Arabidopsis thaliana: one gene and its partner. The protein of the gene in region 1 interacts with the protein of each later gene in a biochemical or structural test. Each region holds a gene or a part of one and is shown on either strand. Other genes may lie near its edges. The genes, in order: PEX19-2 and ABCD1.

Region 1 (4,212 bases):
ATACGTTTCCATGCATACATATAATTTTTATGACCACAAATATATTTTAATCTATTTATCGACTAAATTTTTTTTTTTGAAATGATAACATTAGCTAGTAGAGAATAAAGTTTATTTTGAAGATAATCCGCCACCACAAACGCTAATTTTGTTCTTATTCATTTAGAGCGATTGAAAACGCCAAACACGTGTAACCGCAAACCGCAAACGCTCCAACACTTAACATGTGTTGGCGGGTTGCAAGAGAACCAATCAAAGTACTTAAAAAATAACCAAAAGCTGTATATCAGTTCCTTTTGCTTTTTTCTTTTTGATAAAACAAACAGCATTGTCAGCTAATCAAATAATATAAGATATTGAAGCCTTTTAGAGTTCGGAAAATTTAACGCTTCAAACTTCAGAAGGAGTCTTTGTTGTCATTTGATCAACGGCATGAACAACGTTCTGAAGCTCTTCCCAAATGGCTTTGTAGACCATCCTTTGTCTGTTCACTGCAGATTGTCCCTCAAAAGCCGATGATACCACATTGATGCTACAAATATTAAGCAAAACTGGTATTAAGTAACAGAACCATCTAATATGACAAGTTAAAGTAAGAATCTATGACTGGATTCCATCAAGAGCAGAAGAATAAGTACTAACTTATATCCCAACTTTGATGATTCTACTACTTGTTGAACCTGAAACTTTTTTGTGATTAAAATGAAAGAAAAGGAATCTCAAAATATGAATTTATCTATATATCTAACAAACTTCACTAAACACTATCCATAACAGTGATAACACACATCTGCAACTTCACTCAAGTGTAATAAAGAATCATCATTGGAAGACAAAAATGAGTTAAATCAGAGTACTTACCAGACATGACGTCCATCTCCAGACATATCCGTTACAGTAACCGACTCTGCATTCAATTGTTCTTTGATCTGCAAATGAAGCCAAAACCTCATAAGTAGAGAGACATGTGTTGATAAATCGAAAAAAAGAATCGTTTGCTTCAATCATATAAGTAAGAGACATGATTCCTCATTAATTATCTTAGCTTAGTGATCTTGATCATTTTGGAGCTACTGAGAGCAATCGTGTTGCCAATACCAAGTTTCCATCAACTAAATATGACACATGTTGCCAATACCAAGTATCCAATCAATTCCTTCAAAAATTCACTAATAATACTATAACCTATAAATTGAATTGACACTGAAACATACACAATGAATCAATTTCACTGAAATTAGTTAATGAGGTATAAAAATCCAACCTTTAGCTCCATGGATTGCATAAGGGTTTGATCAATAGAACCAGCATCATTGATTTGAGAGGATTTAGTACTGAAATTAAGGCTGCGAATGTCCAAAGCACCAAACCCAGAAACCCTAGAAACTCTATTGCCGTAAATCGACGACGGCGCAGTCTCTTTACGAGACAAAACGGCGCTTACACATCTCGAGTTAGTGAATCTCACGAGAGGAGCTGAGAATGAAGCGAAGGGTCTCTTTGAAGATTGAAAAAGGCGATAAAGACTCGCTCTTGTGGAAGAGAGAAGAACGTACGGACGAGTTGTCGCCATTAATGTCTGCGCCATTGCTTGAGAGACTTGCGAGTAAAAAAAAAAAAAATGTTCTGTGGCAATGTCGTTGGTTCTTGAAAAAATGGGCTTACGACACAACACAGTTAAACTTAATGGGCTTTCGTGGTTTCAAGTCATTTTAAGATTTTAATAATATAATTCTTTAATGGAAATAATGTCAGCCGTTGGATCGAATCCTGAACTTGATCAATTGAACAACACCGCCTTTGGAAATTTGTTTCTCTCTTCAATGCGATAATTCTCTCTTCCTCTTCGAATTTTGTGAGTTTCTTCGAGAGTTGAGGAAGAGAGACTCGAGAATATGGCCAACGATACTCACACCGATGACTTAGACGAGCTTCTCGATAGTAATAATTTCCTAACGAATTTTAATTTGATTTGATAACATGTTCACCAATTCTAGGTGATTGGTGAAAAACGTTTTTGTTCTTGTGGGTTCGTTTTCTATAATTTAGAATTCTGGGTCTTTCTCAGGTGCCTTGGATGATTTCAAGGATCTTAATCTTACTCAAAGGTTACTCCTTTTTCTCATAATCTCTGTCTCTCTCTAATTGTATCTATGCCACGTGGTTAGATTACTTAGCTCTAGAGTTTTGAGATTGTGGTTACATCAATACTAAATTAGAGGTTCTGTTATGTTTTTGGTGGGAATTGTGGTGTTGATTAGCTTTGGATTTATGTAGAAATGGAGGGGTTAAGAAAGAAGAGGGTGATAAAAAAGAGACAGAGTCATTGCCAAGTGGGGTTCAAGGTCTTGGAATGGGGTTACCAGATATGAGGAGTAAGAAGAAAGGAAAGAAAAAGATTGCTAAAGAGGACCATGTTACTGAGGCACTTGATAAACTCAGGGAACAAACTAGAGAAACTGTGAAGGGACTTGAGTCCTTGTCATCGAAGCAGCAACCTACAGGTTCTGATGATGCTATGGTTGAAGATTGGATCAAGCAATTCGAGAATCTTACTGGGTCTAACGTAAGTATACACAAACTGAGTTGTTACTTCTTGCTATACTTATCTAGTTTAATGTTCTCTTTATCTTCAAGTTCTCTGATTAGATTAGATTACTAAAGTTTCATCTAGTTAAGGTTGTTGCAGAGTAGTAACACATGTTGCAAAGTAGTTTTGAAGGCTGTGTTAATAGTAGTGATACTGATACTAATATCGAAAAAACCACAATTGAAGATGAGAATTAGTTTGCAGAACCATTTGAAAGTAGTCTTGATCACTAGAAGTTTTGTTTTTATGATTTCTCATTTCATAATTTCCATGTTTTTGTTTAGGACTTGGAGTCGATAGTGGACACGATGATGCAACAGCTGTTATCGAAGGATATTCTTCACGAACCAATGAAAGAGATTGGTGCAAGATACCCAAAATGGCTAGAAGAGCATGAATCCAGTCTAAACAAGGAAGAATTCGATCGTTATTCACGCCAGTATGAACTTATCAAAGAACTCAACTTGGTGTACGAGAACGAACCAAACAATTCGACCAAGATAATGGAGATAATGCAGAAGATGCAAGAGTGTGGACAACCACCGAGTGATATAGTGCAAGAGATGGATCCTGGCTTTGATTTCGCTAGTCTGGGCCAAATGTAAGTCTTCTTCCTTATTGGAATCTCTGTGATCTTTAAAGACCCCAAGGTGACTAAGTTTTGTATATATATATGTTCACAGGTCTCCGGACATGCTCGAGTCTTCACCAAATTGTTGTGTAATGTGAGGGAAGAAACAGGTTTTAGAAAACTGTTTGGCCTTGTCCAGCCATTGAAGAATGGAGAACATGTTTTTGTTTCTCTTGTGCATTGTACAATGCAAAGCTTGTTTAAGTTCTTTTTTTTTTCTTACCTGAATACCAAAGTTATTGGGTTTCGGTTCTTGTTCCTTTTGGTTAGTTCTGTTTTGGAATAATTTTGAATCTCTACACACAAATTCATAAATTCACTGAAACATAAACGTGCTCTTCATCCAATTCATTTCGGCTGTTCAATAAATGAAGTGTCCTATGTAAGGTTTGTCACGTCAAATCAAAAGAGGAAAGAGCCAAAGAGGCATTGCATCATAGTCTCATGGGTTGGCTGAATTTTCGGTCCTATACTAGTTGGAATCTCAACTTTTCACTCTAAACTTTTAGCCACTTAAAAAACCATCATAAAAAACTTTAATCTCGATAAAACTACACATACTTTCGGATTTGTTCTTAAAACTATGCCTCCAATTGAACCGACCAGTTAACTGATAATTTTTCATCCGGTTTGACTTAACCAGAATTTAATCAAAATTAATCCGATTTTGATTCTATTTTAGCAATTTTGACCCAAAAAATGTAAATAAATTGTCTTCTTAAGAAGTAAAAGTATTTTTATTAATTTTTATTTGTGATAAACAATTAAAAATATTAAATTATAACTTAATTTTAACAAAACTTAATATGACAAAATATACCCCAAATTATATTTTGAGCCTACATTTTGTTATAAAATTTTGATAATATACAAACATATACATTTTCCTTTTGGCAATCATCTCTATTTTCTTATAAACTTAAAGCTATGTCTTTTTTTAAAACAAAATATTCATTTTTCTTGCTATGACCTTTGAACTTTATATATATAA
Region 2 (5,121 bases), on another chromosome or scaffold:
TTGTGGGCTTTGCTGTAGGTCTGCATTATTACGTGGCGGTGTTTCATAGGGTGGTGCTTCGTCAGCCTCCGAAGACGAACTGGAAGATACACGGTGTGTATGCCACGTGTTTCCTTTTGATTTGTCTGTTATCTAATGCTGAGAGGAGGAAGAAAGAGTACTTGGAAGAAGGCGGTGACGAAGGGAAGAAAAATTGAAATTTTCTTTATTTTATTCTTCTCTATCTTTGTATTTTTATATTTTAAATTTTGAAAAATTCGGCAAAATTTTAGCTGAGAAATGCAATAGAAAGAACAATTACTGGTGGATGGTTGGAAACTTTTTTTAAAAACTTCAATTGTATTTATAATAAATCGATAAATGTGGAATAAAATTTCATAATCTCATTATAATTGTCTCTTTTTTTTCTTTGTAAAAATTACAAATATGTTGTGAAATGTGGACGGCGAGAAGAATGAATTAATTAAATGTTTTTCTTGATAACCGCGAAAATTAAATGTTTCTGTTTGAAATAAAAAAAATATGAGAAGTCAAAAATTAAATAAGGTGGGGTCTACGGAATCGTAGAGTCGACGACTTTCGTGAGGATGGGGCATTTCGGTCATTGAAGGAGTTACCGACGGAACTGGGTGCTGTAGTGTTTTATTGACTTGTGTCGGTGGATTGGCGATTGAGTGTGGGGCGTATGGTGAGAAAAATGGGGCTTTTGTGTCCTAACGTGTTGTTGTATGGGCCACTCATTTCTCAAGGCCCATCACCTCACCTCATATTGTGCCGGAATGTTGTTTTAACTTTATGACGTGACGTGTGTATTATGAAACTGAAAATAGAGTTCCTCCAACTTTGAATCTATTTTACAATTTTATTATTATTTTTTTTTTTTGTCAAATCATAGAAATTACATGCACAACTATCACGACGATAGAAATTTATAAGCACAATTAGCCAAATAAAAAAATCGAGGAAAAAGTTTCTAAATGTAGGCAATGCCCAAATGTCATAAATAGCCTACTTATTTTGTCAATCTTGTCACTTAGAAACTCGGCACTTGTATAAAAACGTTTCATTCAACTTTTGGTATCACATGTACATTATTCAATTGTGAATTCCTAAATTTATTGTGTGCTGTGATAATTCACCAGATCAACCAGTTTAAAGACCCGTGAACAAAAATGCCCATAACATTTTTTTGTATTGGGTTTCAATCAAGTTAAGGCCCATTTTGGTTTAGTATACGGATTGTGTTGGGCGAAAGGAGTGATGTAATATGTACTTATCAGAAACAAAGTAGGAAGACATCACAGTATCACAACATTGATTTGTGTGCTTCAATCATGCGGTGTACAATTTGCACTTTTCCCACTTCACAAAATTCACACCTTAAATATCAATTTGTGAAAAGTATTGACTTTTAACTTTACCAAATTAAACTCTTTTAGTGAACAATCTTTAACAACCATTTTATTTCACATATCTGATGACTCAATAATTCGTGCAAATTTCAAATGTCCTTGTATATTATCGTGTTTGAATTTCAACTTTTTTTCCAAACATGAAATAACAATCCATGATTTTATTGCTAATATGTCTATCATATATTTAAGTTTACAGACCAATCACAATTTCCTCAATTAGAAAAAACAAACTTACCAATGGAAGGATAGCAGTGTATGTCCATAGGACTCGACACTTCTATACATAGTACTATTTGTATTCAAATTATACATAAAGGAAATAAATCTGTCTATACATGGTTTTAGTACCAAGTTTTTTAATAAGAAAAAAGAAACAATTGATAGTTTGATACATTACCAACTAGGCTAAGATATTTTATTTATTTTTACAGTACAGCGTTAACATTTTTTTTAACGAGAATGAAACGGTGGCTAGAGTTACCTGAGTAAAAAATCTAAAAAATAAGGTAAAAATATCTGATAGCATTCGTAACGAAATCAATTAGTACTAGACAAGAAGATGGTATAAAAATAGAAGAAAAGTAAAAAATGGCACGAGTGAATATGTTCGCACGTGTAAAATAAGCGTCATCATCTTCTCCTCTTCCCAAGTTTCGGCTCTCACTTTCTCTCGTTCTCTCTCTCTCTCTCTATCTCTATCTCTCGATTTGGGGGAGTTCCGTCACGGTGGACTAGTACGTCTCGTTGCCGTTGGTGGCGTAGTCGGAATTAATTTCCTCGGCGTTGAGATTCACATGGTCTAGAATTCTAGCTAAGTGGTTGTTGTTGTTGTTACGATTTCCGATTTCTCGAGTTTTTTTTTTATATTTAGCTTCTGTTTCGTTTATCCCTCCCGGAGACACTCCTTGGTCGAATCTCTCATGCTGAGGTAATTCGTCATGGATTTGTTTAATTGCATAAGCTTTTTTGCAATTGTCTAAGCTTTTATCGGTTTGTTTTGTTTTTTGATTTACGAATCTAGATTTTGCGCTTTCTTATGTATGTAATCAGGATCAAATTTGCTGGGTTGTTAAACAATTTTTGTCTGTGTTAGGATTCTAATTACGCGTGTTACTATACATGAATCATTTTCATTGTTTTTCTTCTTGATCCAAAAGTGTGAGAATCTTACTTTAGGCGTAATTCACATTTTTTGCATTAATTTCAACGGTTACACGTTTTTTTTCTTTGCTTTAGATTTGTTATAATTTGGTTGTTCTAATATTCATAACCTTGGAGTTTTGGTATTACTTCAGGTGTTTTGGACACTTGTTGTCAAGAAGAAACCAGTTTTGGTTCTGATTAATCGTTGGTTGGAAAATATACTCAATTCCAGGCCATGCCTTCACTTCAACTATTGCAGTTAACTGAGCGGGGTCGGGGTCTTGTAGCGTCAAGACGGTAACCATTTCCTTGCTCTTCATTGTATTCTAGATGGAAGTTTTTTTTGTTCGTTTGGGCTCAGATTTCATCTTTCTCTGTTTCATTCTTTAGGAAATCTATACTGCTTGCGGCTGGGATTGTAGCTGCTGGTGGAACTGCTGTTTACCTGAAATCAAGGGTCGCTTCCCGGAGGCCTGATTCTTCGCGTCTTTGCAATGGTCAGAGTGATGATGATGAGACTTTGGAAAAGCTGACTGCAACTGATCAAAATGCAAAGATAACCACGAAAAAGAAGAAAGGAGGAGGATTGAAGTCTCTTCAGGTTCTGACTGCTATTCTTCTCTCTCAGATGGGAAAAATGGGTGCCAGGGATCTTTTGGCACTAGTCGCCACCGTGGTATGCATTTCCTCTTAATTAATAAGTTTTTACTTTTGTTTTATGTTTTTGCCCAAGTCAGATAGATTTTCTGTCTGGTTGTTTAAGTTTGATCTCGTGCTGTTGCAAAGTCCTGTAGATATTCATGGAAATTCACAATTGCGAACCGTTGCTTTATTGTTATGGAATACCGGGTGTCTCTCTTTTTAGCTGAAAGAAACACCAATCTAACTTTACGGCCAATAGTCGGGAAAAGTCTGGTTACTTCTCTTACTTATGCGGGACTAGTACTCTTTCCAATCTGTTATTCTATAACTTGTAGGTTTTCAGAACAGCTTTGAGCAATAGATTGGCAAAAGTGCAAGGTTTCCTTTTCCGTGCTGCTTTCTTAAGGCGTGCGCCACTGTTTCTACGGCTCATCTCCGAGAATATTATGTTGTGTTTCATGCTATCAACATTGCACTCTACTTCAAAGTACATAACTGGGGCATTGAGTTTGCGATTCAGAAAGATATTGACCAAGATTATCCATTCACACTATTTTGAGGTAGCAACTGCCATCTCTTCTGCCATTCAATTGTTTACTATTTCTTTAGATACGAGTGTTTTTGACTAGTGAGAGTATCGAGTATACTTCAGACTGCTGGATATCTCTTCACTCAGTTTTAATTGTTGTTTTCAGAATATGGTATATTACAAAATATCACACGTGGATGGTCGGATTACGCACCCTGAACAAAGAATTGCCAGCGATGTACCAAGATTCTCCTCAGAGTTGAGCGATCTTATACTGGATGATTTGACGGCGGTTACTGATGGAATTTTGTATGCATGGCGCCTGTGTTCATATGCTAGTCCAAAATACATCTTCTGGATACTGGTGATTCATGTTTAATCTTCTATACTTCAAGATTGACCTTATGTTGGGCCATTTATGCTGCTTTTCCTTGTATCCGTTCACAGTACAATTCTTTCGGTCTGGTATCTATAAACTAACCTATACAATTGTTGTGTAGGCCTATGTACTGGGGGCTGGGACGGCGATAAGAAACTTTTCTCCTTCTTTTGGGAAATTGATGTCCAAGGAACAGCAGTTAGAAGGAGAGTACCGGCAACTTCATTCACGCTTAAGGACTCATTCGGAAAGCATAGCATTCTATGGTGGGGAAACCAGGGAAGAATCTCATATACAACAAAAGTTCAAGAATCTTGTTAGCCATATGAGTCACGTGCTTCATGATCACTGGTGGTTTGGTATGATCCAAGATTTTCTGCTGAAGTATCTTGGGGCCACAGTTGCAGTTATTCTGATTATCGAACCATTCTTCTCTGGGCATCTAAGACCTGACGACTCGACCTTAGGAAGAGCTGAGATGCTTAGCAATATAAGATATCACACTAGTGTCATTATATCTCTCTTTCAGGCGTTGGGAACACTTTCTATAAGTTCCAGGCGGCTCAACCGACTCAGGTAATGCTTTATGTTGGATCTCATGTCAGACGCTTAAATGGTGAATACTGTTTAGCTGTTTCTAATTATTGGAATGTTGTTGCTTCCGGCAGTGGTTATGCTGACCGAATCCATGAGTTGATGGCTGTCTCAAGAGAACTCAGTGGTGATGATAAATCGTCTTTCCAGAGAAATAGAAGCAGAAATTATCTAAGTGAAGCTAATTATGTAGAGTTTTCCGATGTCAAGGTAGTTGGAATAGATTCATGTTACTGTAATCCTTTCCAAAATGTCGTGTTCTTAATGTTTCTTAACACACTCTAGGTTGTTACTCCAACCGGAAATGTTTTGGTGGAGGATCTCACCCTTCGAGTTGAGCAAGGGTCTAATCTTCTGATTACAGGTGAACGCTTTATATCTAGAACATAATATGACTATCAATTTCCCTTTTCATTGCT

The links.
Region 2: the proteins of PEX19-2 (region 1) and ABCD1 form a complex in vitro, tested with the Arabidopsis thaliana proteins (one study listed by BioGRID).

The regions. Positions count from the first base shown.
Region 1 is NC_003076.8:5,785,850-5,790,061, reverse strand, and holds PEX19-2 (peroxin 19-2), read left to right. Parts: upstream 1-1,757; 5' UTR 1,758-1,895; coding exon 1,896-1,941; exon of another isoform or gene 1,942-2,068; coding exon 2,069-2,108; intron 2,109-2,277; coding exon 2,278-2,566; intron 2,567-2,874; coding exon 2,875-3,191; intron 3,192-3,273; coding exon 3,274-3,319; 3' UTR 3,320-3,648; downstream 3,649-4,212. Other genes in the region: AT5G17560 (BolA-like family protein), read right to left, coding at 391-532, 862-929, 1,265-1,588. UniProt on the Arabidopsis thaliana protein: Contributes to morphology determination of peroxisomes, but not to import of peroxisomal matrix proteins. Required for proper post-translational import and stabilization of peroxisomal membrane proteins (PMPs).
Region 2 is NC_003075.7:18,486,427-18,491,547, forward strand, and holds the start of ABCD1 (peroxisomal ABC transporter 1), read left to right. Parts: upstream 1-2,007; 5' UTR 2,008-2,343; exon of another isoform or gene 2,344-2,710; 5' UTR 2,711-2,793; coding exon 2,794-2,855; intron 2,856-2,948; coding exon 2,949-3,234; intron 3,235-3,535; coding exon 3,536-3,760; intron 3,761-3,895; coding exon 3,896-4,093; intron 4,094-4,229; coding exon 4,230-4,684; intron 4,685-4,776; coding exon 4,777-4,912; intron 4,913-4,987; coding exon 4,988-5,066; intron 5,067-5,121. Other genes in the region: AT4G39840 (cell wall integrity/stress response component-like protein), read left to right, coding at 1-197. UniProt on the Arabidopsis thaliana protein: Contributes to the transport of fatty acids and their derivatives (acyl CoAs) across the peroxisomal membrane. Provides acetate to the glyoxylate cycle in developing seedlings.